Linked DNA regions of Mus musculus: regions 2, 3 and 4 are each reported to be linked to region 1. The links are microRNA targets in miRTarBase. Many come from high-throughput screens and were not tested one by one. Region 1 holds a microRNA gene; each other region holds the end of a gene's coding sequence.
Evidence for each region. The annotated mature microRNA mmu-miR-467f reads AUAUACACACACACACCUACA and lies in region 1 at 2,228-2,248, shown strand. An mRNA with a match to its seed (bases 2 to 7 or 8) in the 3' UTR can be bound and repressed. Matches are read on the target gene's strand: a 7mer-m8 pairs with bases 2 to 8, a 7mer-A1 pairs with bases 2 to 7 and ends in A, and an 8mer does both.

Region 1 (7,122 bases):
CCTGTTTATCTGGTGCTGACGGTGTTTTATGCATCTTTACCAACTGTACTACACTCTTAGTCCCACAGTTGCTTTTGATTAGTAAACATTAGTTTGTATTTGCGTTTTTTGATAGAAGTGGAGACAGTTTAGAGAGCTGTTAGTCCCAGGAGCTGAGAAGTAGGAGCAAGTGAATCTTTTTAAATTCACGACCAGCCTGGTCTATATCACAAGTTCAGGCTACCCAGAAATATATAGACAGTGTCTCATAGATAGGTGGATGGATAGAAAGAAATAATAAGTTGCCAGATAGACAGAGATAGAGAAGGAAGGAAGATAGATAAGAAGGAAGGAAGAAAGGAAAAATAATAGCTGCCAGGTGGTGGTTTTTTTAATCCCAACACGCAGAGGCAGGCAGATCTCTAACCAAGCCAGCATGGTCTACAGAGTGAGTTCCAGGACAGCCAGGGCTACAGAGAAACCCTATTCTGGAAGAAAAAAAAAAAAAAAAAAAAAAAAACACTAGATAGATTAGATAAGGGGGGTTTGGCTAGAATATAGTTCCGTGTGATGTGTGCCTAGCAAGTATAAAGCCCTGATTTCAATCCTCAACATCAAAAGCAGTAAGAAAGCCAGATGCTTCAAAAAAAAGGCTAACAATATTCAAGGACCAGCCCTAAGTACAGTAACTAGGATAGTGGCAGAGCTTAGGAGAAAATGTACCAATAATATTCTAGAGAATACAGAGTTCCCACCTCACAGACCTGGCCAGTCACCACTTACAAAACTATTCTTTCCTTATAATGAGAACATCTAACCCTGAATATTGCTTCAGATACGACCTGCTTTGGCTGTTTGGGGGGAGCCTGAGGCAGGAGGGTCTAAGAATTGGAGGTCAGCTTAGGCTACGTGCTAAGTTTCAGAGTAACCTGAGCTATCAAAGTATAAAAATCCTGTCTCTATATGGGGAGAAATGTTTTTAAAAATGAAAGAAGGGAGGAAGGGAAAGGGAAAGGAAGAAAGAAGGAAGAGATCGGAGGAGGGCTACCTGGCTGAGGATGTACTTCAGTGGAAGGCTAAGATGAGACCTCAAGTTCAAGGTTAGCCTTATCAACAAAGCAAGGCTATACAATAAGACCCCATCTTAACAGGTTGGTGGTGGCCTAAACCTTCCAAGGCCAGCCTAGCCTACAGAGTGAGTTCCAGGGCAACACAGGATATCCTGCCCCCCACCCCAAAAAAAAACAACAAAAGACAGAGGCAGGCGGGTTTCTGAGTTTGAGGCTAGCCTGGTCTACAGAATGAGTTACAGGACAGCCAGGGCTACACAGAAAAACCTTGTTTCAAAAAACAAACAAAAACAAAACAAAACACATTATGAAGCTGGGGTTGATGGTGTGCACCTGTAATCCCAGGTCTTAGGAAAGGCCACAGTAAACCAGGAGTCCAAGGTCATCCCGGGTTAAAAGCCCAAGCCACCTGAAACCACCTTAACAAAACACATCACATCCTGACAGAAAAGCCAAGTTTGATAGGATAATTCTAAAATAACTTAGACCTCAGATCTGATATTTACTGGCTCTAGAAAAATCACAGTAAAACAGTTTTGTGAGAGGAGAAAAGAATCTCCCCAAACGTAAAAGATCTAAAAAGTTAGTATCCCTTACTCACACCAAAGTTTGCTGAGTCATAAATATTAATCAGCAAGGTTTGAATAGGTAAGTATCTACATTACACTTAGGCAATGTCTTTAACTCAGTCATGGAGCAGAAAGTGCTGAAGTGGCCAGAATACAAAATCTACACTCAATATTTGGCTTTTATTAACTCTATACTATCAAAGAATCCTGTCCCTGCTTCCCTCAAATCTATCACTGCTCTGGCCCACAGAATAAAAGGATAAAAGAGAGACTTTCTGTTGGATACCCATATGTGTAACAGAATTCATGTCCCAGCCCAACCATGTCATACAGTTAATTGGAACTGAGCACTCATCTGTCCCAGCTGTGCATGGCTCCTGAGCTTCCTTAAACCAAATGCAAATATCTTATCTTGATCTCATACTCAATTTAAGAACCACTTTTCAAACTAAGAGTAGTTGTGGATGCTTTTAATCCCAGCACTCAACAAAGGCAGACCTATCCCACAGAGTTTGAGTTCAGGGCAGCCACGGCTACATAGAGAAATCCTGTACCCAGAAATCGAACGGGGGTGGGTGTGTGTGTAGGTGTGTGTGTGTGTATGTATGTATATACACACACACACCTACACACAGCTTTTTTGGAATTTTTAACATTTTGATGTTAGAAGGATACAGATGAAGACTAACATATCGAGGAAAAGAGAGCATAATAAAGAGTACTTTTTGGGTTTGTTTGGGTTGTTTTAGACTGGATTCCATTCCCCATGCTGGTTTTGAACTTCAACAATCCTACTTTAGCCTTCTAAGTACTAGGGTTAGAGTATGTACCACCATACCCAGCCTGAGGAGACTGTTTTAACAAAGGTAATACAAATGTGGGTGAAATAGATATTAAAACATTAATGTGTCCTCTCAGAAGCCAAAAGAATTAAAGACTTTTGCTACAGAAAACAGAAATGTTAGAGACACTGTTCTGGTCTGAAGAAAAAGTACCAAGAGTTAGGAAAGTGACAGAATCAGCTAGGAGCCTTCTTCAGCTATACACAGACTAGACAGGTAGACATCATCAAGGATACACAGGAATACAGAAATACCAAGCTAAAAAGACCGAGACTTAGTTGAGAAGCTGCATTAAAGCTAATAGGTATGTGCACCCATAGGCACTGGGTAAAGAACTTGATCAGAAAAGGGAAAAAAATGGCCTGGCCTTTATAATGGATAACTAGCATATCAGTTGAAGTGAGGGTAGGAACCATCTACAGGGGTAGGGCAAACCTAAGTCTTTTTTCAGCTACAAAAAAGATACAATTTCATAGTAGAGTCAGAGAAAGTTATTTCCAAGGGCATAAGAAAGTAGAAGTTCTACTAGGGTAGGGGGACAGACAACCTGAGGAAACCTGAAGAAAAAGGGGCTCTTCTCACCCATCTCATGCTATGGAAATTCCTCTTTCTCTCCAGGATGAAGAGTAAGAGAGGGACCAAACGTGTCCGGGACAATTCCACTCATAAAAGTCAAAAGATGTTCAGAACCCCACTGATCAGAAGAAGAAAATATCTGGGGCGTGGGATCCAGAATAGACTCAGGACAGATACAGAAGATGGGGTGGGTGGTGGATAGAAAGAAGGAAAAAACAAAAGTCTGGTCTGGCATGGTGGCTCAACCAGTAACGCCAGAGCTGTAATCCTAGGCTGAGGAAGAGTTCAAGTGCAGCCAGGGAGGGGATCTTGTCCCAACCACACCCCTTAAAAAAGTTCACAGGAATCAAATCTTAGGCAAAGAAAAAGCTGATTAAAGAAGCAATTCTGAAAGATACTTTTTTTCTTTCCAGAAGGATTGTCAACAAGCAGAAATCTGTTAGAATAAGAACTTGTTGAGATGGCCTTTGAGAGACAGTGAAGCTTAAACTTACCAAGAAGATAGAGGAATGACCTAAATATATCTAGAGTCAAAGAGATAAGCGTGAATCCATCCCTCATAGGTGATTTTGGAATATAGGTGTGGTGGGTGACAAACTTGTCCAACAAATCCACTTTATGGCTGGCTGATAAAAACCTGAGGCCAAAGATGCTAATGCTAAATAACACAGATGGGTTTTGACCATTTCTTGTCAGCCTGGGAACAGGAATTTAAGACCAAAAGTTGAGCAAATGGTCTAGAGCCAGTAGGCAGAAGGCTCCCTGAAGACCTAATGTGGGACAGTGGACCTTCCCAAGGGGGTCATGTAGGAAAAGAATGCGAATCCTCCATGTGCTTGGGCTGCAGGGGTGATGTGATTAAAAGCTGAAGTATCGCCTACACTAAAAAAAAAAAAAAAAAAAAAAAAAAAAAAAAAAAAAAAAAACAAGAAAAGTCGATTAGAAGCTAGGAAAAGGGCTTTCTCCAAAGGGACCCGGGGCTCCCATCCCCGCACAGGAATGACCTGATGGCCATGTTTTCAGCTGATAAAAGCAGGTGTAACAGCGAGCTCAAAATAAAAGCACGAGGGTTAACTCCCACGATCGCCACGGGAGGGTTTCGAGTGGGAACGTGGGTCGAAGGTTCTAAGGGTCAAGACCAAGCTCCAGAAACTCGATCCCGCTCCACTCTTCCCTGCCTCGGCTGGGGGAGGGGGCTAAGGAGGGTGGCCCGGGTCGACGCGCCGTCTCACCTTGTAGAAGGCCCCGTTGGAGCCCCGCACCTCGACGGGCAGTCCCGGCTCCACATCCCCCCCAGAGGCCAGGCCGCCCATGGCGCCGCCACCACCTCCGACTGGCCCGGCAGCAGCTGAAACAGAGCCCTGAGTGCGGGCCGGGCCGGGTCCCCGGCGTCTCCCTGGAGGAGGAGCCGGAGGGGGAGCCGCGGGGGGCGGGAGCCGGGCCGGCCCCACGGCGGCCCTGCTACAGCCGACGAGCAGGGGGCCGGGGCCGGGCCGCTCCCCGTCCGCCGCCGCCGCCGCTGCCTTGGTCTCCGCCACCGTGAGGGAAACGGCCGCCGCCGCCGCCGCCGCCTTCGTCACCTCAGCTTCCGCCCGCCGGCGCCCCCGCTGCTGCCTCGGTCCCGGGACCCGCCGCTGCCGCTCCACGGCCTCCACCTCCCCCTGCTGCCGCCGCCTACTGCGCAGGCGCACAGGGCACCCGCCCGCCGCGCGCGGAGCCGGAGGGCCAAGGCGCAGGCGTCTAGGCTAGCGACCCAGCTCCCGCTCGCCAGCGCGTCAGGGCTTCCACATTCTCTTGCACTCTCTCACGCCCCCTCCTGGTCGCCTCTCTGCGCTTGCGCAGAACGAGGCGAACGCTCTCTGTACCACTCCAACCTTCCACTGTCCCTGTCCCTTCCTTTCCCCGCCCCACAACACTGGAAGCAAACCAATCAAAGGGAGAGGGGGGCCGCGCTCGCTGCATCGGATTGGACTTCCGCCTCCACAAAGTGAGCCCCATGGAGCCTGGGCAATTTAGGGATGGGCATGCGCCCGAATGACTGCTTGGTCACTTTCACCACCTTTGTCTTTCTTGGTGCGCACACTCCAAAAAGGGGGGGGGGGGGGGAACCAAAAGGCAAAAACTGCCCAGTGCGCAGGCGCTGGGCTTTGGTGTCCATGCGCATGTGTTGACTCTCTGCATCCATAGGAGAATCAAGAGTCACTGTTGTTGGCTTAAGTAGACTTTTTTTTTTTTTTTTTTTTTTTTTTTTTTTAAGTTTTGTGAGACAGGGTCTCTTGTGTCCTAGGCTGACCATGAACTAACTAGGTAGTGGGGGAATGACCTTGAATAGGTCCTCCAACCTCCACCTCCCAAGTGCAAAAATTACAGCCATGTCATTACCATGCTTGCCCTAAGTTGACTAGTATTCTAGTAAATTTAGTGCCGTATGAAAAACAAAATGCCACATAACTTGATGCATAAATTCTGAGGGGATTCAATACAGGAAAAACTGTCATGGAGTAACAAAAGAGAGAGAGAGAGATGGCTCGAATACGAAGCTTAACGGGAATTGTATTCCTAGACCACAAAATGGAAGGAGATATCCTCCTGCAAGTTGTCTCCTGAACATCATACATATAACATCACTCGTGGTCACCCACACGTATAACAGATTTTTTTTTTTTTTTTGTAAAAATAAGGGGTGTGAGGTGGAGAGATGGCTCAGTGGTTAAGAGCACTGACTACTCTTCCAGAGGTATTGAGTTAAATTCCCAGCAACCCCATGGTGGCTCACAATCATCTATAATGGGAACTGGTACCCTATTCTGGTGTATTTGAAAACAGCAATAGTGTACTCATATACATTAAATAAATACTTAACAAAATAAAATAGGATCAGTGTTCAAACTACAGGTTGTGTCGTCAAGATTTAAGCTGCCACCACAATGATTGAGGCTGCTAACAACAACCTTCTTGGAAAGGAAGTCAGGGTTAAATGCAACACAGATGACACCATCAGAAACTTGAAGAACTTGATAGCGGCCCAATGGTACAGGAGTTTGAAGGACCACGTGTCTCTGGGAGATTATCAAATCCACAGTGGGATGAACCAGAGCTCTGTGACCAAGAAAGGGAGATTCCTCCTCCTCCCCCAGCCCTGCCTTCCTCTTCCACGTTCATTTGACACTGGTAATAGATTCTCATTTTAAACAATTCACATGAATTAAAATTTTGATGCTGAAAAAAAAAAAAAAGACCCAGACCCGAGGTTTTATTTTGTGTCTTGAGGTGTTTTGAAAACTCTGGCCCTTTCTGCCATATTCCCTTGCCGCCACCATGGTGCGAATGAATGTTCTGGCAGAGGCTTTCAAGAGCTTCCACAACACTGAGAAGAGAGGCAAACACCAGGTCCTCATCAGGCTGTGTTGTAAAGTCATTGTTCGGTTCTTCGATGGTGAAGCACGGCTACACTAGTGAATTCGAGGTCATTGATGATCACAGAGCTGGGAAGATCGTTGTGAACCTCACAGGAAGGTTGAACAAGCGTGGAGTTATAAGCCCTAGATTTGATGTTCGATTCAAAGACCTTGAGAAATAAATTGCAGAACGATCTGCTCCCATCGCAGCAATTTGGTTTCATTGTGCTGACAACCTCGGCTGGCATCATGGACCATGGAGAAGGGAGACGAAAACGTACAGGAGGGAAAAATCCTGGGGTTATTTTTTTAAATGTAAAGCATAAATAAAAAGCCTTCGTGGATTGTGGAGGAAAAAAAAGGAAAAAAAAAGAAAACTCTGGCTGGCCTGGAACTCAATATGTAGGCCAAGCTGGCCACAAACTCACAAAGACCCCTCACCTGCTCTGCCTTCCCAGTACTAGGATTAAAGTCAGATACCACAGGCCTGACACGTAATGCTGTTTAAATTATTTTTAAAGTTTCCTGGCATGGTGGCACATGCTTTTGATCCCAGCACTTGAGAGGCAGAGACAGGCAGATCTCTGCTGAGTTTCAGCTTGGTCTACACAGTGAGTTACAAGACAACCAGGACTATATAGAAAGACTCTGCCTAAATAAATAATAAAAAATATTTCTGTTAAGATCT
Region 2 (7,122 bases), not on the chromosome of region 1:
ATGGGGTGGCCACCTGCTCAGAAGCCGGAGGACTCAAAAGAAGAGCACGGAGGCCCGGCCCAGACGGACGTCTGTGCTACTCAAGTTTCAGAAGAGTTCCCCGGGTCCTGTGCAGATGAGGTACTGAGTTCTGGTTCCATCAGCTTCTCTGGAGAATTACAATCCTATTCACACACCTCTGAGAGCCCAGTCGAGACCAAAACGCCGACTACAAGTTCGGAAGAGCAAGACGAGCAGTCAGAACTTTCACTCTTACAGAAGGATGAAAATAAGCTGAGTGAAATGTGGATCAACCATCTCAAGAGCAAAGAAATTCATTCTGAAAGATCTCAACCCGACCGTAGACTCCCACCAGAAATCCCTAAGGAATCCGCAGAAGAACTGGATGCCCTGCAGTCTTTTTGTACTAAAAAAGTAAACTTGATTCACCAGAGACAGGATTTAAGAGCTAAGAAAAGCAACAGACCCAAAAGGCTGCAGCTCAGATGGATTGCAGAGACCTCAGAGGTAGATGCTTTCAATTGTACGATCCCTGATGAACTGTGGAACAGAATCTATTTGGAAAACACGAGAGCGACTCTGGCGTACATAGGGGCGATTACGCAACACATTTCTTCGCAGTGTCCCAGCTGTAATAGCAAAAGAGCAGAGCTGGCTCAGTCTGACTTCCTGAGACGAAGGAAAACTTTACTGCAGTCACTACTACTCCAAGAGAAAATAGATGAACACCTTCATACCACAGACTTTCTCACCCGTGTTGGAGAAGCACATCAGGGCTTCCCCAGGCTTTCAGATGATCCTAGGATCATCTGGAAGCGACTGACTGAGAAAATGCTGAAGGGAAGCTCCGGCTTTGGGCGGGCATATTCAAAGCAGGTGTAGGAAGACTGTACAAGTCTTTTTAATGATTCTCAACTCACACGTCCAACCAGATAGGAGGTGCTGACTACTAATGATGATATGTACTATGCCCAACCAGGGGATGGTGACTATTGGTGATTAGTGATAACATGTGTTGTGCATACATGTACCTGGTGTGGATTTGAGTAATTACCATCTCATATAGAGGAAATTTAGAAACTAATGTAAGATTTACTTCTGCTTCCTTCACTGAAGTCTAAATCATTAAATCCAATAGATTTTTCACATTATGGAAGACAATTGGAGAAATTGCAAAACTTTTGTAATCTAGGGGAATATATATATATATATATATATATATATATATATATATATATATATGTATGTATATGTGTGTGTGTGTGGTATTCTCTCTATACACACACACACATATGAATGATGGTAGTTTGGAGTGGTGGTGGACAGTACAGAGAGAAAGAAGTAAACAGATATAAGATAGTTAGGAAGCAGCGATGAGGGCTGGTTTTGGTGATAAAGAGGCTGTGGAGACTAACTTTGAAAAGGCACTAGGATTTTGACTTGTGTACCTGTGTACTCGACTGAATAGTAATTTCCTTAAGACAGAATTCTATTTAGTTTCTGTCAACTTGACAAAAACTAGAGTCACTTGTGGAGAGGAAACCTCAACTGAGAAATTGCCTTTCTCCACCGGTCTCCAGGCATTTCTGAGGGAGCATTTACTTCCTTAATGATTGAGGCGGGAGGGTTTGTGCCACTGCCATCCTTAGTCAGGTAGTCTCAGGCTGTGTAACATGGCAAGCTCAGCAAGATATGGAAAGCAAGCCAGTAAGTCACATTTCCCCATGCGTTCTGTTTAGTCCTTGCCCAAAAGTTTCTGCCTTCACTTCCTGTCTCTGCATCCCTCTATGACCTACAATAACCTATTAACTAAATAAAACTGTTTCTTCTCTAAGCTAGTTTTGCTTATTCAACACACATACACACTCCACCCCACCCCAGTAACAGAAACCCAACCAATTGGTACCAGAAATCGATACCAGAGAGTAGGGCATTGCTGTGACAGATGTGACCATGTTTTGGCTTGGGTGTGTGGGGGTGGCTTTTGTGGGAAGACTTGAGAACTTTGTGCTAGGCAAGGTCTTTGCAGTCTCAGAGCTTAATGACCAGGTAGGAGAGCCTGTAGCATAGGAATGTTGGGGAGGGGCAGATGATGGAGAGCTGGCTTCTAAAGGTTTAGAGGGAAACAAAGACCCTATCAGGAATGTTTATGTCAGAATCAAGAATCTGACAAGGGGTCATTGTGCTGGTTTCTATCTAAGCTGACACAAACTAGAGCCACTTAGGAAGAGGGAGTCTCACTTGAGCACTTGCCTCTATCATACTAGCCTATGTCCATATCTGTGGGATACTTCTTGATTATATCAAGGCCTGGGCTACTGTGGCTGGTGCCACCCTGGGGCAAGGTACTGGGTTGTTAGGAAGCAAGCTAAGAAATCCATTGGAAAAACAAGTCAGTAAGCAATACTCCTCCATGGTCTTTGCTTCAGTTCCCGCTTTCAAGTTGTTGCTGGGAGTTACTACCATGTCACCCCTAAATGATGGGTGGTACTCTGTAAGCTTAGCAAATCCTTTCCTTACCCTAACTGGTTTTGATGGATGTTCTTATTATATTTCTGTATAATAAAACACAATACAGCTAGGAAGACTACAACATGGCGAATTTGAAGGTGTGATTGAATATAATTCTTTATATCTAAGTAGTGTGTGGTGTATTTGAGACATATACATTGAGAGTATAAAGAAGCAGGTTATTTATATGTAGAGTCAACAGGAAAGGTTTAGAGGCTAGACTAGTGGGGAAATCATTGGCATGTAGTTAGACATTGAAGCCGGAGATGGGACAAACTTCTAGAAGCTAGGAGAGAGAAAAGAAGCAGACTGATTGCAGCTTCTGAGAAATGCTGACCATTAATAAAGTATGTTTGTGTGTGTGTGTGATAATCATGCAAGAATAAAACAGCGAAATAAAGAATATGAATATATACTACATAAAGAGTTTAATTGCTGGCAAGAAAACAAGATGAAGCTGAGGGCTTCAATATAGCAGTGTGTGTGTGCGTGTGTGTATTGTATATAACGTACACATATGTATCTATATTGTATATAACAATGCGGGATTGTTATAAACAATCCATTTTGGTCATAATGATTTTATGAATCTTCTCTATGTCCTAGTTTTCGGTCAAACAAACTATCATTTTTTGAAGAGCAGTTTGCCATTAATGGGGGGAAATCACATGTTCCTTGATAGCTCATATTTATGATTTATTTTTCTATAAAAATGCTAGCATTGATGGCATTACCCAGAGACTGTTTTCCACACATCAGATTATTTGAGTGAAAGTTAATTGTATTTGCAAACGATGGCTCTTTTTTTTCATTATTTTTTTAATTAGGTATTTTCTTCATTTACATTTCCAATGCTACCCCAAAAGTCCCCCAAACCCCCCACTTCCCTCACCCCCAATCCCACTTCTTGGCACTGGCATTCCCCTGTACTGAGGCATATAAAGTTTGCAAGACCAATGGGCCTCTCTTTCCACTGATGGCCAACTTGGTCATCTTCTGATACATATGCAGCTAGAGACATGAGCTCCGGGGGGTACTGGTTAGTTCATATTGTTGTTCCACCTATAGGGTTGCAGACCCCCTTTGCTCCTTGGGTACTTTCTCTAGCTCCTCCATTGGTGGCCCTGTGATCCATCCAATAGCTGACTGTGAGCATCCACTTCTGTGTTTGCTAGGCCCCGGCATAGCCTCGCAAGAAACAGTTATATCAGGGTCCTTTCAGCAAAATCTTGCTAGTGTGTGCAATGGTGTCAGTGTTTGGAGGCTGATTATGGGATGGATTCCCGGCTCAAGAGATTCTGTAGCCATCATGGTTAAGATTTTAGTCTTTGAGCTAAGCCTTCATTTATGCATTAATGATCTTTTTTCCTGGAAAATATCTTCTTAGTCATTCCTAAATAAAATGGAAAAAGTCATTGCCACCTACATAATAACTTTTCAGTTGAGGTCCAAATTACATCATACTTTATCTTCAGCCTCTCAGCAAATTCACATTTTATACAATCAAAACTCTGAACATTGCTCCACTTAGAATTCCCCGTAATAAAGGTCAAACTCTATTAGCCAATCAGTCCGGAAAACCTCATCTCAATAGGCAGCTGCTTTTCTTCAACAGTCTCAGATGGATTCTCTTCAGTACTTTTGACTGTCACTGCTCTTCGTAGGATATTTACATATCTTCTCCCTTGTTTTTCTCTTCATACTATTCCCAATTTTTTTTTTGGTTATTTTTCTAACACACAAATATTTTAAGTAATTCTGTTAACTTAAAACAGAAAACTTGAGTCAATTCTCCTCCATTACAAAAATAGTTAAAAGCAATTGACATTATGAAGTAGTTCTATTATATCTGTCCTAGAATAATCTTTCTATTCTCCTGACTGCTATATTCAAGCTTCTCTCCAGGACTTGCTGTCCCTCACGTTCTCCTTTTCTCTGTGCCAGTATAATTTACAGGTACAAATATGGGTCAAGTTTCTTACCTGACGCCTTTTTTTAAAGCTAGCATGTTCTTTATTGCTTATTTTTGTCTATAAATTTTGTAGTTTTAAATATGTACTGTGTTTACATGATCCAATAGTCAAAGGGATACGGAAAAGTTTGGTATGCCAGATCTTATCCCCATGGCTACTGTGCAATCCCATTCTGGACCAGCTGCCTCCAAGATCTTTGCTCTTTCTAGGCAAATATCTGCCACTGATTTGAATCTAGGACAGCCAGTCATACCAAGATATGATCATGAGATGGAGTGAATTCAGGGAACTTAAGGGTAAAAGTTTATTAGGGAGGGCTGAAGTATTTCTGCACATTAAATCCATAAAAATTTTGATGTGAAACACTAGTGTGTAAGGCCTAAACAGTAATGCTTAAATTGTTTTTTATATACCATTCCAATACTGTTTGTGCAAATATAAGCACCAAAGGTGTTTTGGTATATAGTCTTGTGCTTTGGCTAAGTGTTGCTTATGGGCTCTGTCTTCAACGTGTAATACTATTGGAAGCTAAGAGAACCTTTATACAATGGTCTAGTGGGTGGAAGTTGGGTCACTGAAACTGTGTGTCCTTGAAAAGAGTACTAGGAACTTCCTATTTCTTTTTCTTTTCTAAGTCCCAAGACCACCACACTGTGCTCTGTCTAATGTATTGTCTCACTACAGGCTCCAAAGCCACAGGGCAGGAAATGGTCTGGGACCAGCTGGGCAATGTAGGTTTTTCACCCAGTTTAGAGTGATGCTTAGGGAACCGTTAAGGCACACTTCTGATTATGTCTGCATGAACGTCGACATAGAGGATATTTGTATGTAGCAAAACAACAGAGGGGGCCAAACCATCACTATGGTGGGTATCACTACTCAACAGACTGGACCACAAAACAATGAAGTAGAGAAACAGAAAGGCAGCCAGTGTGTGTGTGTGTGTGTGTGTGTGTGTGTGTGTGTGTGTGTGTGTGTGTGTGTGCGCGCATGCGCGCGCGCGCACACACACACTTGGTCTTGATCCATTTCTTTTGAGTGAATATGGATGTTCTGCCGCTATGACCCATGAATAGCAGACCACAGTTCCAGTCTTTCTAGGAAATCTCACTAGTCATTAAACAGGAAGAATAAGTGTTTTGATCAAATTCATACTGCATCACTGGCCCTGTTTCTCCTGAGACATTCACTTTCACTTATTGAGATGGTAATGGCTTATCTGTGTGTCTAGTACTCAGAGAACCATTGTTTGCAGAAGAGAGCATGCTAATAAACTCAGTGTTACAATTACATATGTAACCTATTGGCTATATTCTTCTGGTGAGCCCTTCCCAACTGAGCCAAAATAGAAACCCAGCTCATTCTATGGCTGAATAAATAGTACAGGAGAACTAATAGAATACCACATACAAATATCCTCTATGTTTATGTTCATGCAGACATAGACAGGGCCAAGAAGTGGGAGTGAGTGGGTAGGGGAGCAGGGTTGGGGGAGGGTATAGGGGACTTTTGGTATAGCATTTGAAATGTAAATGAAGAAAATATCTAATAAAAATTAAAATAAGAAAATATATAATAAAAATTGTTAAAAAATAATCTCTTGTAGGTATAGTTCTCAGTATGTTTATCTGTTTAATTGCCTATGACACTTGGACTGTTGTCAGTCTTTGATTAACACAAATATATCTGCTGTGAACTTGTTTATTCAACCACCAGTTTCTAATTTTGTTTTTTCTCTACCTAGAAGCTGTAATCAGGATCAGATGAGCTTCTGAGTGTGAGATGTCTATGAAGTCGTTGGTGCCTTTGTATAAAGAGTTAGCGGGATCACTTCCTAACACAAGCTTCAACTTCTATTAGAAACCGAGAAATGATTTTTACAAACAAAGTTGTATTTTATATTTTTTTCCCAGTCATGTTCAAGTGCTCCAATTCTTCCCTTCATTGGAAGCCCTTTTCTTATTTTTCACGCAAAAAATTACAGCCATTTGCAATAGGTTTGAAATGGTATTTTTCTGAGATTTGGATTTTCCTGTTTGAGTATTCAGTATTACAGAACAACTTTTCATTTGCTTGGTAATCATTTGTACAACTGTCTGATCAAGAGCTGTCTGATCAAGTCTTTTAATCAGTTAAAAACTGAGCTGTTTATAAATTTTCTTGAGTTGTAGGACTTATGTATTTTGATATTAAATTACTTTCATATATATGGTTTACAAATTGGTTCTTATTTTGTGGGTTATCTCTCTAGTCCCACACACCATCTGATACATAAAACAAGTAATTTTAAGGAAGTCCAATTTACCATTTTTTTTGTAAGTTATGTCTTTGTGTTACATTTAAGAAACAATTACCATGTCTAAGGAATTAAAATTTTCCTGTATGATTTCTACTAATAGTTTTACAGTTTGGTATTTCATGATGAGGCTTAGAGTTACACATGTTACAGCTTGACTGTGAGTCCCAAAATGTATGTGAAAAGGAATTCCCCAATTCGTACGTAAATACTCTTTGGAGGTGATGCTTTGGAACGTATATAGGATTAAATGAGCTCACAAGCTCAAGACACCTATGTAAAGCATCCCGGGGTTGTGACCTGGTCTGTCTCAATGTCAGATACCCTCCTGCATGGTATGAT
Region 3 (7,122 bases), not on the chromosome of region 1:
ACTACTGAGCAAACGTTAAAAAAATAAAGAACAACTGCAAATCTCATATGGCATGACAGGCCTGGGAAGTGGAGCAAAACTCTGGGAACGTCTGGTGTGTCAAACATGCACCTACTTGTAGACAGCAAAACTCTAGCTTATTCCTAGAAACTATCCAAGATAAAGACAAATATATATACATATTACCTATATACATATGTATACACACACCTAAGTGAACATAGCAGCTTTATTCATAACAGTAAGAAAAAAAATAGCAGAAACAACCCATCGATAGGGAGACAGAAAACAAACTGGTGTATTCATATAAAAGATTCAGGAATAAAACGTAATGAACGAGTGATGTTCCAGCATGGGTGACTTTCACAGTCCTGTGCTAAGCAGTTTGGTCTGGAATGTGATGGAGTGACAGGAGATGCCTGCATACGCTGGTAATGCATGACCCAATGCTTTCAATTTTGAGAAGGATTTGGATTACACAATCATTAAAAACTCAGCAAAATTATACAATGTATGTGTATTTCATTACATGTAAATATTAAATACATTTTTAGAATTTAAGTAAGGTATTGGGTGACTTATTTGAAATGCACTGAAAATTGGTAATAAAAGAATGAAACCTATGTGGCATTTGGTTACACACAACCTAATTTTATAAAGTTTACTCTATGTTAAAAATCTTCTCAACACAATGAGGAAAGTTCTGTCCCACTATAGCTTTTGCTTGAAATACAATTTATTTTCCATGTGAGACAGAGATCACACCCACAGAACCACAGGGAGCAGAAACTAGCTCCTGGGTTTTCTTTAGGTTCTAAAATGTTTAATGTTAACAAACATGGTAAGGAAGAAAAGAAACTGCAAAAATCTTCACTATCATCATTGTTATCTTTTGTTGATAGACTCTTGCTTTATAGTCCTTACTGGTCTGGGTGATACTAAGCTGCCCAGGCTGGCCTTTACTTGTGGCAATAATCTGCCAACACTCAAAAATTATTTAATAGAAGCTAAATTGTAGTAAGAGTAGATAATAATGCTTACTTCATTACAAACTTATCATTTTTGAACTATATTCAATTATTAAATGAAGAACCATCTTTCTGTCAATTCATGTATAAACTTTGCCTTATGCAAGTTTAGTCCAAAAAAAATGGAAATTCAATTATCACACACATAACTTTCTAGGTGCTGGGATGTAGTAAAAAGCACTGCTTAGTGTGCACAGAGGCCCATGTTCACTACTCAGCACTAGGCGGAATACAGACCATGCAAAACAAACAAAGACCACCTCACACTCAATAACAGCTCCCAGGTCCTCACTGTTCTGCTATGGCAGTGTGCAGAAGCCTCACGTCCCCGGGTGTACAAGGGGAAAGACAATGGCAATTTATACCTCAAGTGGTTATTTTCAACAGGAGTACTTTACATGTATCAAGGTCAGCAGCAGACACAAGCCATTCAGACTCACAGCTGGGCATGGAGGCTCATCATAGCCTGGACGGCACAGAAGATTTCAGGGGGGGGTAGAGGGGGGGAAGACCAGAGAGAGGGAAGAGGAAGAGGAGAGGGAGAGGGGTGCAGAGAGAGGAAGGGAAAAAACACAACACCCCCCTTTTGTAAGTACACATAAGGAAGGGTTACTAAGCTGCTCAAATGGTGGACAACCATGGAATATCTTTTTTTTTAAAGATTTATTTATTATTTATTATATGTAAGTACACTGTAGCTGTCTTCAGACACTCCAGAAGAGGTAGTCAGATCTTGTTACGGATGGTTGTGAGCCACCATGTGGTTGCTGGGATTTGAACTCCGGACCTTCGGAAGAGCAGTCGGGTGCTCTTAACTGCTGAGCCATCTCACCAGCCCGGAATATCTTTATTTAAACAAAATAAAACCATCTCCTCACTTGTTGGTTCAATAGCAGCAGTGACAGGATTTGCTTTCTGTTTCTCCCAGAGTTGTGACAAATACCGCAGAACAATAAGCCTGCTGTGTCACTCTGAGAATACAGAAGCAACTCCATTCAGTTTAGTGTCTGTCCTTGCTGAGAAGCAACTCTCCGGAGTGAGCAGCTGCAGACAGGAGACAGCCGGACCTTTGGGAAGCACACGTTGGCTTTGTTGTTGCTACTGCTATTATTCCAGCACTGGGAACAGAACCTAGGGCCTCATGCACAACAGCCAAGTGCTCTACCACTAAGCTACATTCCCAGCTCATCTTCTTGGTATGAGCAGAATCTAAATTTTCTTCATTTTTTTCTTATCTTCAACATCTTTCAGCATCTTTTGTATCAACCATGTGGTTCACATTCCCATAAACTGCCACAACTGGCCAAAACTAAACAGCTGTATCTCATCCTGTTAGCTGGGCACAGCTGGCTCTCTCTTTTGCTCTGTGTGTGTGTTGTGTATATTTGTATGTATGTGTGTGAATGTGTGAACACAGGTATGTATGGGTGTTTGTGGAGGTCATAAGTGGGTGTCAGAGCTCTTGGATGGAGCTGGGTTTAAAAGTGGCTGTGTAGCCCAGTATGGCTTATAGGCATGCAACCCAGGCTAGCCTCCAACTTGTGGCAACCCTCCTGCTTCAGCCTCCCAGTTGCTAGGATTTTAGATGTGAGCCATTAGGCTCAGCTCACACTAGGAATTTCTTAGTGGTCACATTATAGTTAGACTAGAAGTAGCCCATTCCTTTTTCTTACCACGTATCTAAGAAATGTCTCAACAGCCTTTCTGAATATGAGTTTCTGTTATCACACATGTATATACATACATAGCAATGACAAAGGAGAAGAAATTCAATTCCTACCTTAGAAAGACTCTTTGCTAAGACTGAAGTCTAAAGACACACTGTTCCAAATGCTCTCAAAGTACAGAGCAAATGAACTTCCAAGCTAAACAGCATCACCCTTCTTCTCTCTGCTGCTGCTCTTGGATTTGTTTCTCACTCATGTTGTGCAAGCCTGTTGGTCAATGGGTCAGGTATGGTAGACATCCCAGCAATGAAAGGTAGAAGCAGGCAGAGTTCTGTGAGTTTGAGGCTAGCCTGATCTACATAGTGTAGCAAGGCAGTCAGAGCTGCAGAGTAAGACCTTATCTAAATACACACACACACACACACACACACACACACACACACACCCCAGAAAACAAACTATCCAAACAAAAACCACTCAAACAACAAAGCAAAAACAAACACTAAGGTGTAAATGTCAGATAGGGCTGGGCGCTGTAACTATTAACTGCTCTGTAATTACGATGCTGTCTCTAAAATGCTCTCCGAGCTTCAGAGACACTAAATAGAGATGTTAAGTATCATAAACCAAGCCTGAGTTCTTCAGTCTCTAGACGTGAGTATTAGACTTTAACACGTTACTATCTTGTTCACGAGGTAATTACGTCTGTGTTCCAGATGACAATTCTGAACAGGACCAGCTTTGGAAGGATTTCTTTTTAGCTCACATACATTCTGCTTTGTTCTAAAACATCAATGCATATTAATATCCATAATCCAGAAATAAAAAATGCTCTAAAAACTGAAACTAGTGCTAACATGATGTAATGACTACAAAATTCAACACCTGATCTAATGTGCTGGGACACAGTTAAAACATGGACAGGTACAGTTAAGATACTGCATAAAAGCACCTTCAGGTTATGTATACAAGACACAAATTAAACATTAAACGAACTTCATGCTTAGACCTTGGACCCATTCTCAGGATTTTATAATGTACCCACAAATATCCTAAAATCAAGGAAAACTTCACTTACAAAACACTTTCGTGCTAAGCATCTTAGATAAGGAATAGTCAACCTGTAATTTTTTTCTTTGCATAAAAAGATGATTTTAGGTTTCTTTTATTTCTTGACTGAATAGACACACTAGTTACTAGTTCTTTGATTTTTAAACAGCCAACACCTCTCTCCTTAGTCCTGCTGATCATAATCAGCTAGAAACATCTTTGCAGGTTTTCAAGTCTGACTGGAGAATTCATGGCATTCTCTACCATTACCCCAGACAAAGTTTCTCTGTGTAGCCCTGGTTGTCCTGAAACTCACACTGAAGACCAGGCTGGCCTTGAAGTCAGAGATCCACCTGTCTTTGTCTACTAAATGCTGGGACTAAAGTTGTGTGCCACCACTTACTGGCCTGGAATTCACACCATTCTTAACATGGGGTCAGGACAAAATGGAGAGATTTTTATACAAATCTTCCAAGTTAAAATTCCATATTTTAACCTTAAACTTGAATCAAGTATGGCCTGTTGCTCTTCTCCTATGCTTTATTAAGCAGAGTCTCAATGCAGTCCAGGCTGGCTCTGAACTCATTACATGCCAAGCTGACACGGAATTCTTCATTGTCCTGCCTCTGCCTTTGAGATCAAGGGTTTTGTTTTCTTTAAAGCAAGGCTTTGCTACATAGTACAAGTTGGCCTTAAGTTTGCAGCAATCCTCCTGCTGCAGCTCCCCGAGTGCTGGATTACAGGTGTGAACTACCTGCTCTGACTGCTCTTTTCTTGTTTTATATTTCTCTTTGGAGGACGACTTGGAAGAATGAGATGACCGGGGAGATTCTGAGCAGCTGGGTTTCTCAGAAAGGGACTGTAAGAAACAGTTTCTCCCTACACGCAGGTTGCTTTTAACTAACATTCTGAAAGTGATTACTGGAATTCAAGTGTTATGTTTAAATCTGTTCTAACACAGAAGAAAAACATTCCTTCCATGAACAATCAAAATCTTCCTCTGGCTAATGAGGTTACTCCCAGGCAGGAAAGAACTCCTCTTGGTTTCAATTGTGCTACAAGGAAGAGGCCACCAGGGGCCAGCAATGCACAGAAGGGGCCTACCAGAGGCCCCTTTATGTTCTTGCTTACATATGAAAACAGCACTAAATAAACATAGCCACTCAGCAAATAGATAGAAAATAAGACAGACATCTTTAGCTGTATTAAAAGCTAAACAGGGTACAAATGAAGAAAAGCTTTCATTTGAAACTTGCCTGGAATCTTTTATAACACATATGCTAGGGAGATGGCTCTATCAGTAAAATGCTTGCTACAGAAGCATGAAAGTCTGAGTCTGATGCCCACCCATGTATGTATCTGGGCATGATGGTAAGTATGCCTTTAGTCCCAGTGCTGGGAAAGAGACAGCAGCATCCCTGACCAGCCAACCAGGCTAGCAGTATCAGTAAGCTGCAGGCCCTAGTGAAACCCTATCTGAAAACACACGGTAGGTGGCTCTTGAGAACACCATTGGCTGACATCTGGCCTCCAAACGCACATGCACACACATGCAGGCACATCTGCAAATATGTGCACACCCACATACACATAAACATGCAAATATGTCCTCAGAAACAAAGTCAAGTGCACTGGTATTTATACACACACAAACGGACTACAGTCAATAAGACCGCATAAGAACTGATGAATTGAAAAACTAGAATTGATATGTTTTTTTTTTTTTTTCTTTTGGTTTGTTTTGTTTACAAAGAAGCTGTGGTAATTTTTGGCTCAAAAGTATGATTTTACATTACAAATCCTACTTCTAATCCTTAAGTAAAGTTTGGTATAGAGTATATAGTATATCTTTATGTTTTGTTGACGTCTTTAGATCAGGTCTCATGGAGACCAAGCTGGCCTTGAATTTGCTAACTGGCTATAGCACTGGCTTGGAACTCCTGATCTTTCTGCTCTACCCGCCATGCACTGATATTACAAGTGTGTTCCACCATACCTGGCTCCTATATTTAGTATTTTTATTTTTGTTTTTCTCTCCCAGCCTTACTAATTAAAACTTTATAGTAGTCTTTAAGAATTAGTTATCCCTGCATCAATGATGTCTCTTTGACTCCTAGATAACTGTCCTCGGTTCCCTAGCATTTTATATTCACGTTAGCACCTAATGGAAATGTTTCAAAATGCTTGGTCTCTTGGGACAGCATCCTAGGGAGCTTTTACATAAGATGGAGTCCTTTCTACCATATGTGGTAAGAGTTCAACCTAGTCCTTTGGAGCTAGCACAAGACTTGTTCTGGAAAATGCTGCAGAATGTTCCATGCAGATAATGAGGACTAGTTACAGCTGACTGAGGCTCGTTTTTTTAACCAAGTCTCAAGTTACAATGACTCACTGTCTTAACCACTTCTGTTGACAGCTTCCTCCTCTTCTCCAGGGTCACAGACCATCTGGTAAACATAGCAGCTGAAGACCCTGTTGGGCTTCTGTTCGATGTGCAGCACCAAATCTCTGTCAAAGTAGACTTCATGGCTATATGTCTGTAACAAAACAGTCACACGGGATCTGCTTTTCACACAATTATATTCACAGTGTCACCAAAATCCCATAGCACCTACCCTATGCCCCTACATATGCACACCGATGCAGAAGACTTGTCAGAAATGGATTTTTCATTATTTATGTGCATGTAGACAGAAAACAGAAAAATACAGAAAATGTAGAGAATAGAAAGAGCTCTGGGCTTAGGGGCTTAGCTATGCAGTTCAGTGTCAGAACAGCACTTCTGTCTGACGCAGGAGCACGTACAAGTGTTCCTACCTCTCAAGTTCTTACTGAGAGGAAAAGACCTAGGCACAAGTATGCTGCTCTCTGTTTTACTTTTGTGTGTGTGCTGTGGAACGTGAGTATGCTCACATGTGTGTGGATACCTGTGTGTGCATGTGTGTTGTAGACAGGCCAGAGAGTGATGTTAGATGTCTTCCTCAGTTCCTCTCTGCTTTATGCCTTGGTCCCAGAACTCAGGGATTTAGCTAGTCTGGTCATCTTGCCTCTGAGATCTTGTCTTCACTTCTAAGTTGGGCTGACACACCTGCCAGCATTTATGTGGTGGGTTCTGGGGTCCGAAACCCAAAGTTCTCACATTTGCACAGCAACTGAACCATCTCCCCAGTACTCTTGAAACTTCTTCACTGCCACTACCAACTCATTTTAGGTGGTGCTGGGAAATGAACCTACAGTCTGATGGGCTGATATTTGAAAGAACAAATATTTCCAAGTGCTAGAACCCAACTTGCTTAATCATTGCTTGCCCCTTAACTAACTATGGGAGATAATTTCATTTTTAAAGATGATACCAAACTCATAATTGGGAGCAAAAT
Region 4 (7,122 bases), not on the chromosome of region 1:
GGAGAGTAACTTTCCTCTCCATTGAGTTCCTGTTCTGTAGATGAAAGGTGGGTACGGTTATACTTGGCCAGCACCTCAGCTTGCTGTCCTTGAAGATGGGGTGAAGAAGTATGGTGTGCCCAAGGCCCTGTGTTTGATCTTCAGAAATAGATTAGTTAATAAACAAACAAGAGACTAAAGAAGCTACATGTCTAGGGAGGAATCAACTCAAGAATTCCAGTGGTTTTTCTCATAAAATGTTGGGCTTTTCCTACTGGAATTAGTTCTGGTAGTAGGGTCTTTAGAATGATTGTGCACACCTGCCAGTTGCTGTTCTGAAGACCCAGTTCTGTGTTTAATCATTCCCTCCTTACCACACGCCTGGGAGACAGGTATTCTTACCATGTCCATTTAAAGTTGTGTGTCAAATGTGTGTGTGCACACACTCACACGCACTTGGGTATGTTGGGGAGGTCAGAGGACAACTTGCAGGGTTCAGTTCTCTCTCCCCACAGGCACCATGCTGGGGCCAGCATCGTTGGCAGCCCCCAACATGCCCATTTTGCAGATACAGAAACAGATAAAAGTCCTTATCAGCTTGTGCAGCTAAGGCAGGATCTGAACTCAGCTTACTTCCATGTCAGTTCCATAGCTCCTAACACTATAGGGTAATTTCTCCTTACAAGTGGCTCATCTTCCCCTAGAAAATCAACCATTCAGGAGCCACAGTAAAAAGTAAAACTCCTTGAAGACAAAAAGCTCCAAATAAGACCTCGGATTAAAAAAAAAAAAATCAGACAGGAAGGATTCAAGGACCAATCGCTGGTCACATCTGCAGCTCAGAGAAAGAGAACACTGTTTACCAGAAAGCTGGTCTGCCTGCAGCAACGAAACTCAGGGCTCTTCCTCTCCTCCAGCACCTCTCTAGGTTCGGTAACACCTCTGTGCTTTGAGAACCAGGAGTCGTCTTTAATCTTAGATGTCTGTTTTTATTTTGAATTGCTGTATTTCTTTTTCCTTCCTTACTTCTAGACACCAATGTATTTCTCTCTGTGAAGCATGAGCAAAGCCCGAGGTGCAAGCCAAGCCCTCAGAAATGTGATAGCTGTTACCAAGGATCTGAGGAAAAGTAACAAACCTAGACTCAAAATCAAAACGCTCGACTCTACTGTCTGGGGTGGCACCCATCCTAATCAGAAATGGGAATCACAGGCTTTGTTCCGGGGTGCTTGGCTGCTGAGCCACTCTGAAACCCCCTTCTCACCTGTGGATTCTGTGCTGGCTTGGCTGAGCACTGTGTTAAAGAACCTTCAAACATTCTTGCTCTAAGGAGTGCCTGGATGTTTACAGTTAGTGAACACATGTATCCTGTCTTATTCAGATATATAATCTTGACCTACTTTGTTCAAACAAGGACATATTAAAATACAACAATTTCTTAGGCCTGATAAACAGGGATGAGATTTTAAATACGCCATGCCCTATTCCACCAAGCCAAGTGTGAACAAAGTCTTGCCTTTCTTGCCACTTCTTCCCCAACGCAGAATTGGGTTGAGAAATTTGAATGGCTACTGAAAGAAAGGCTAGTAGACCACCTTAGTATATGTTGGTAACATATGGTACCCCCCAGAGGCCAAGTGAGGTATTAAAGAGAAAGGGTAAATGTCAGGAACTAATTATCAAATTAAAAGAACTTTGGGAGGTTCCCCTCAAATGTTGGCCTGATGCGTTTCTTTCTCTCTTAGAACATCTCCAGGCTGTAGGATGGGCAGCAGGAGTTTCAGCTCAGCACCTGCAAAGGTCTGAGATGGGGAGGCTGTCCTCTGTGGAGAGCCTGCTTTTCATCTACTTTTCTAACTCTTGGCCTGTTGGGTTCTTCACACTGTCTGTCCACTGTCCAGCAAGGGGCCTGGCCATGGCTCCCTTTTCTTGAGCTACTTTCATCCAGTTTTGAGCAGCCCCGTTTCAGATTGGCCTTTTTATGTTTGATATAAAGAATAGTTGTTGGCCAATTTCATCTTTTCATCGCTGTTCTCTAGGCCTGAATCCAAGTAGTTTGTCAGCTGCTCATTAACTCCCCCTTTGGCTCTTTCTAGTGTGTCTCCTAAGCTCATTGTGCCAAGAACTAACGCTTTCTTTTACACGATTCTCTTTCTCTGCTCCATCAGGGAGACAAATTACTTTCCAAAAGGGATCGCCAGGGATGGTTTAATGAGAATTTCTTTGGGGCTAGGCATGGAACGCAATGTAGTTAACATTCGGTGGACTTAATTGGACTTTTCTTTTCTGCCTCTTTTTAAAAAAAATCTGAAGCTATCCTGTTAATCTCTCATTTGTAATCAATTGTGTTGACTAAACAAAAGTCTAGGTCGTCTTTTCTTCCTGTCCCAGACAATCCTTTGTTGCCTGTAAATGCCGAGTTCTTGAGTGATGCTGGTTCTGTGGATGGCCCGATTGTTGACAGTTCATTACTACGCTTTTGTCCAGTTAATCTTTCTCGCTGTGTTTTGCATGTGCATGCCTTAATGAGCTCCGCTGGCAATTAACATGTTTCTGGGAGCAAACTGGTTGCTCAGACGTTTGAGAGGGACGTGCAGGGAAAAGGGCAACGCAGCTGCCTTGAGGTTATTTATTTCCCAGCGTTTTCTCAAGACTCCCGTACCCTCTTTGGTAGCACCCCCTTCTCTTCCTGCCCCCTCCCCTCCCTCCAGCCCATTTACCGCCTGCTCACCTGACTTGTTACTGCTCTAACTCTAGGGTCTGGCTCAGGCAGCCCTCTACCTTTCTGTGAGCCAAATAGCAAAATGGGGCTCCATGTAAACCCATTTCTGCCGCCAAGGCAAGAGCATGCGGAGTACCCCCCAAAATGTATCTGGATGCTGGCACTTCTCTGTGTCGCTCTTTGTAGAGAGGAACCTCTAACCCGCCTAAGGCAATAGGACTGTGCAATCTGTTATGTACAAGGCTGTGGCTTTGGAAGGAGGGTTTTTCTCTTTTTTTCCTTTTCTTTTTTCTTTTCTTTCTTTCTTTCTTTTTTTTTTTTTTTTTTTTTTGAGTCTTGCTGGCAAGATTGCTGAAGTGTGAGCAGTCATGGACAGAACAAACATCTTGTAGGGGAAAAGATAATTGGAGTCTTTTTTGTGTCTATGATAGGATTCCCTTCCCCCGCAATTTGATTTTTTTTAAAAAAAATATTTTTTCAGGGTGGCCTCTTCAATTTAATCAAGGTTAGAATATTAATATGCAGCGGATGACTACCTTGTTTAAGTCATTTATTGATATTGCAAACTTCAAGTCATGCAAACAATTTAATATTATGGAGGAAAAAAAAAACGAGAGAAAACAGAGCCTTTCGCCCACGATTTCCATGCACGATGCTAAGGAGAAGGCAGGCTACAGTGGTTAAGGAGGGAGCTCGGTGCTGGCTGTGGAAAGTGCTGACTCTTTCCAGGAGAAGGCAGTCTTTCCTGGATTCCATCACCAAGATAACAGACCTCTTCAACCAGGGAATGGTGTCCAACCGGAGGAAGGCAGAGCTAAGCTGCCTAGGTTTGGAAGAACTGTTTATCTTCAATTACCTTCAGATGTGAAATAACACCTTCTCAGGTGCGCAAGATTGGCAGGAGCCTAGTGTGGAGGTTAAGTAACAATCAAGTTAAGAGAAACAACCTCAAGGCGGTGGGAACAGGAGGGAAACTGCAGAGGTCCATCCTAGTCAGAGCACCACTTCCTGGGAGCAGGGACAAGCAGGGGAGCCCCATCAGCTCCACCTGAGCTGGATTTTATTCACTTTGGAGTTTGCAAAGAAACAACCCCCTAGTACTTTACAACCGCCAACCTGAAGGCGCATATTTTCAGTTTGCAAGAGGGGGAGGTCCTTTTGTAAAAAAGTTACATGGAAAGTTACAACAGAAGACTTTCTCCGGGCTCTGTTGCTTGATAGTTAGAAGCTAGCCTTCTGGGTGGCATGCTCCCTCTTCCATGGAACAGATTTCCTTAAGAGAAGGGCACTTGACTGTAATTTCCTACAAGCCACTTCCCTTCGCACTCCGCAGCTCGGCATTCGCCTTTGTATAAATATCTTCCTGAGGTGTTTTAAGATGTGCTTGACATGGTAGGATCTCCAAGCAGCACACCTGAAAAGGTATGCTTGGGAGATGGTGCTAGTGGTGGTGGAGGAAGAGAAGGAAGAGGAGGAAAACGAGGAGGAGGAGGAGGAGCAGGAGCAGGAGGAGGAGGAGGAGGAGGAGGAGGAGGAGGAGGAGGAAGCTGATTGAAATGACTGATATAGAGTACTCAGGTGTTCTAGAACGGAGTGGGGTCTAAGAATGTCAAGCAAAGTTAATAAAATACTTTGAGAAGAAATGGAGAAGTGGAGGGATTGACCTGTCAAACTCATGCAGCCTCCAAGAGGGAAGTTCCTATTCTCTTTGGCCCTGTCCTCCTCACCCCTCCGGGGTTGCCTGGGTTTTATAGCATACATAGAGAGTTAAATCTGCCTGCTCCTTTGGGTCCCGATCTCTCCTCAGGGAACTGCAGCCAGAACAAGATAGCATTTAAATCCCCTCTGGCTTCCTCGCCCCCCTCCCCTGGCTACATCTTCCCAGACTTGGGGGAGGAGGAAGGAGAGGAATACAAAAAAACGAGGACGCTCTCCTTTCAGGAAATGGAATTCTAATGTACGCGTTCCTATTTCTGAATCGGAGGTACTAAAAATACCCCTGCGACAGCCTGAGGAAGCTGTCGCTGTCCTCTGTGCAAACAAAATCGACAATTCTCCTTCTCAACGCAATGGGTCTTCAGATTGGGAGGGGGCCCAGGACAGAAGGTTTGGCTGTGAGCAGGAGAGATCTTCCACCCTGGCCAGGAGCATCTCCAGGCCACAAGCCTGAGACTGCTTTCCATCAATGAAATCTGAAGGAAGCGATGGTCTCTTAGAAGCCCGGACTTTGGAGCTCTGCCCTTCGTAGCCGGGAAACTCTGGGCGTGTCATTTAGATGGTCTCTCTGCCTCTACTTTTTCTCTGCAGAGTGGGAATAATCACACACACACACACACACACACACACACACACACACACACACACACACACACAGCTTGCAAATTGTTGCTAAAGCCACAGTAAAGGTGTTGAGTGCCTGCCTGGGAAAGAGCTCTAGAAATAAGAGGATCTCTCTCTCTCTCTCTCTCTCTCTCTCTCTCTCTCTCTCTCTCTCTCTCTCTCTCTGGTGGAAGTCAGTGGCGCTCTCAGTAATGAGTGCCTACTGTATACAACGCGTTGGGCTAACCCTCACTAGTTACTGTCAAGAGTTACCTGGGATTGCCCTTTGCAGTAACCATCCTTCCCTCCAAATAGCCTCCACCCGCGGTGCAAATCCGGATGGGGTCAGCGCTCAGCAGTTCTCACCCCCTCAACTCGGAGGCTGCGTGGAAGAGCACTCCCGGGCCCCGCGCCGCGTTTCCTCTGGTGTAGAAGAACAATGTTCCAGAAGACGTGGGCTGAATCACCGCGCTGATATTAAAAGTGTGGAGGGGGTGGGGGTGGAGGGAGGAGGCCAGGCGCGACGCGCCAGTAATCCGAGCTCTTGATTATCTAGATTCGGATCAAACGGGGCGGCGGCAGCCGGCCCCCTCCTGGGAATGATTAGATGATTAATGTAATGCTGTTTGAAGGGTCTCTGTTTTCTCTCTTAATTTGGGTCATTACTTAGAAAGCAAGCGTGAGATCATTTCATCAGCGTGCACGGCGGCAGAGATAGCTATTGAGGAAGTGGGCTAACTGCGTGGTAATCACGACCAGGGAGGACACATCGGCCAGCTCCGGGAGCTGGGCGCGCCCTCCCGCGGCAGGGTGCCGCTTACCGATCAGCCAGCCCAGACCTGAAGTGCAGGCAAAGGACACCAAGAGCTCAACAGCACGGCCTAGGCTGGACAGCCTCTAGCTGTCTCTGTCAGAGGAGGCTAGGACCAGGGTTGCGCTCCTTAAACCCCAGCCTTTTTCCTAAATTGCATGCTGTTACGCTCGGGATACCCAAAGGCCATTCCACAGCATCCAGCCACTTTTGACCCTTAAATTTTTTTCTCACCCAAATAAGAATCCCAAGTATCTGCTCAGTCACCAAATCAAACCTTGGGCTATTGATGGAGCCGGATGGAAGTGTTTCGGCCCATGCTCCTGGGTGCTTTAATATACCAGCATACCAGGAGTACGGTTTAACCTTAGCTTGGCCCCGGTGTCCCAAGAAAGTTACATTTGGGAAAGGAAAAGCTATAAATGCTTAGTTCCACCTCCTTCTTTGGATTTGTTGAGCTGACCTCGTGGCGAGGGGATGGGGAAAAGAAGACGCGCACTAATGGTTCTATTTATTGAGTCATATATATGTAATATTCCGTGTTCGCTTGTACAGGAGAGATTACAAGGTTGAGTGAAGATGGCAGGGGCATCACGCTCTTCTGGGCGCTCACGGTGACAGGCTGGGATTAAAAGCCGGCTGCCTGAGGAGAAGCGGAGGCCTGGAATTAAATATGTTTCAGCGCACTGGATTTAAATACGTTTCCTGAATGTACAAAGGTGGGAGCCACGCGTTTGTGCCGGTCATCGAGGACACGTTTACATTTCCCCAAAAATATGCTGGTTTCGATAAATAGATTTTAGCCTCTCTGCTATAGTTTTTTTTTCTTTTAATTTTAGAAATAAGTTTATACGTGAGATCTGCTTGGGTTGGTACAGGGCAGGAAGAACGGACAAGGCAGTAGCTCTCAGCTCTGAACTGTCCTGGCTAGGTCCTTTGCTGAGGGGGTGGCGGTGGGACCCACGCTGTCATGAAGTTTGCGCACATGTTTCTTTAAGTCAAAGTTTCTGCAAAAACCTTTGCCGCAAGTGGCACACGTGAAAGGCTTCTTGTCGTTGTGGGTGTGCATGTGGAAGGTCAGATTGTAGACCTGATGGAAGGCCTTGTTACAGATAGTGCATTTGTACTGCTTCTCGCCGCTGTGGGTGAGCTTGTGATTCTTGTAGTTCCCTACGGAAGAGCAAAAACAACAACAACAAAAACAAAAACGTAGGGGTTTGTAGTGGAATAAGACCTCCCCCAAACCCTGCACCACCAGCCCTCAGTCCCTGCAGTAGCTCAGAAGGCGATG

Region 2: miRTarBase lists AI429214 as a target of mmu-miR-467f. The part of its 3' UTR that is shown has no 7-base or 8-base seed match.
Region 3: the mRNA of Dcaf17 is a reported target of mmu-miR-467f. Seed matches in the 3' UTR shown: 8mer at 5,384-5,391, 7mer-A1 at 4,204-4,210 and 7mer-A1 at 503-509.
Region 4: the mRNA of Fezf2 is a reported target of mmu-miR-467f. The part of its 3' UTR that is shown has no 7-base or 8-base seed match.

The regions. Positions count from the first base shown.
Region 1 is chr11:69,630,545-69,637,666 of GRCm38, reverse strand. It overlaps Mir467f (microRNA 467f), which reads left to right and starts at 2,148; the gene lies at 2,148-2,267. Fxr2 (fragile X mental retardation, autosomal homolog 2) reads right to left here and starts at 4,696. Exons shown (of 17, transcript NM_011814.2): 1 at 4,269-4,696. The coding sequence starts at 4,349. It also overlaps the pseudogene Gm12308.
Region 2 is chr8:36,993,700-37,000,821 of GRCm38, forward strand. It overlaps AI429214 (expressed sequence AI429214), which reads left to right. Exons shown (of 1, transcript NM_001039220.3): 1 at 1-1,834. The coding sequence starts at 1. The coding sequence ends at 882. The region is part of intron 2 of G630064G18Rik (RIKEN cDNA G630064G18 gene); the gene reads right to left. Among named protein-coding and RNA genes, the nearest start is that of AI429214, 3.7 kb to the left of the region's middle.
Region 3 is chr2:71,088,949-71,096,070 of GRCm38, reverse strand. It overlaps Dcaf17 (DDB1 and CUL4 associated factor 17), which reads right to left. Exons shown (of 14, transcript NM_001165980.1): 14 at 213-6,282. The coding sequence ends at 6,142. Among named protein-coding and RNA genes, the nearest start is that of Cybrd1, 26 kb to the left of the region's middle.
Region 4 is chr14:12,335,758-12,342,879 of GRCm38, forward strand. Fezf2 (Fez family zinc finger 2) reads right to left here. Exons shown (of 5, transcript NM_080433.3): 5 at 6,135-7,001. The coding sequence ends at 6,739. Among named protein-coding and RNA genes, the nearest start is that of Gm24578, 5.4 kb to the left of the region's middle.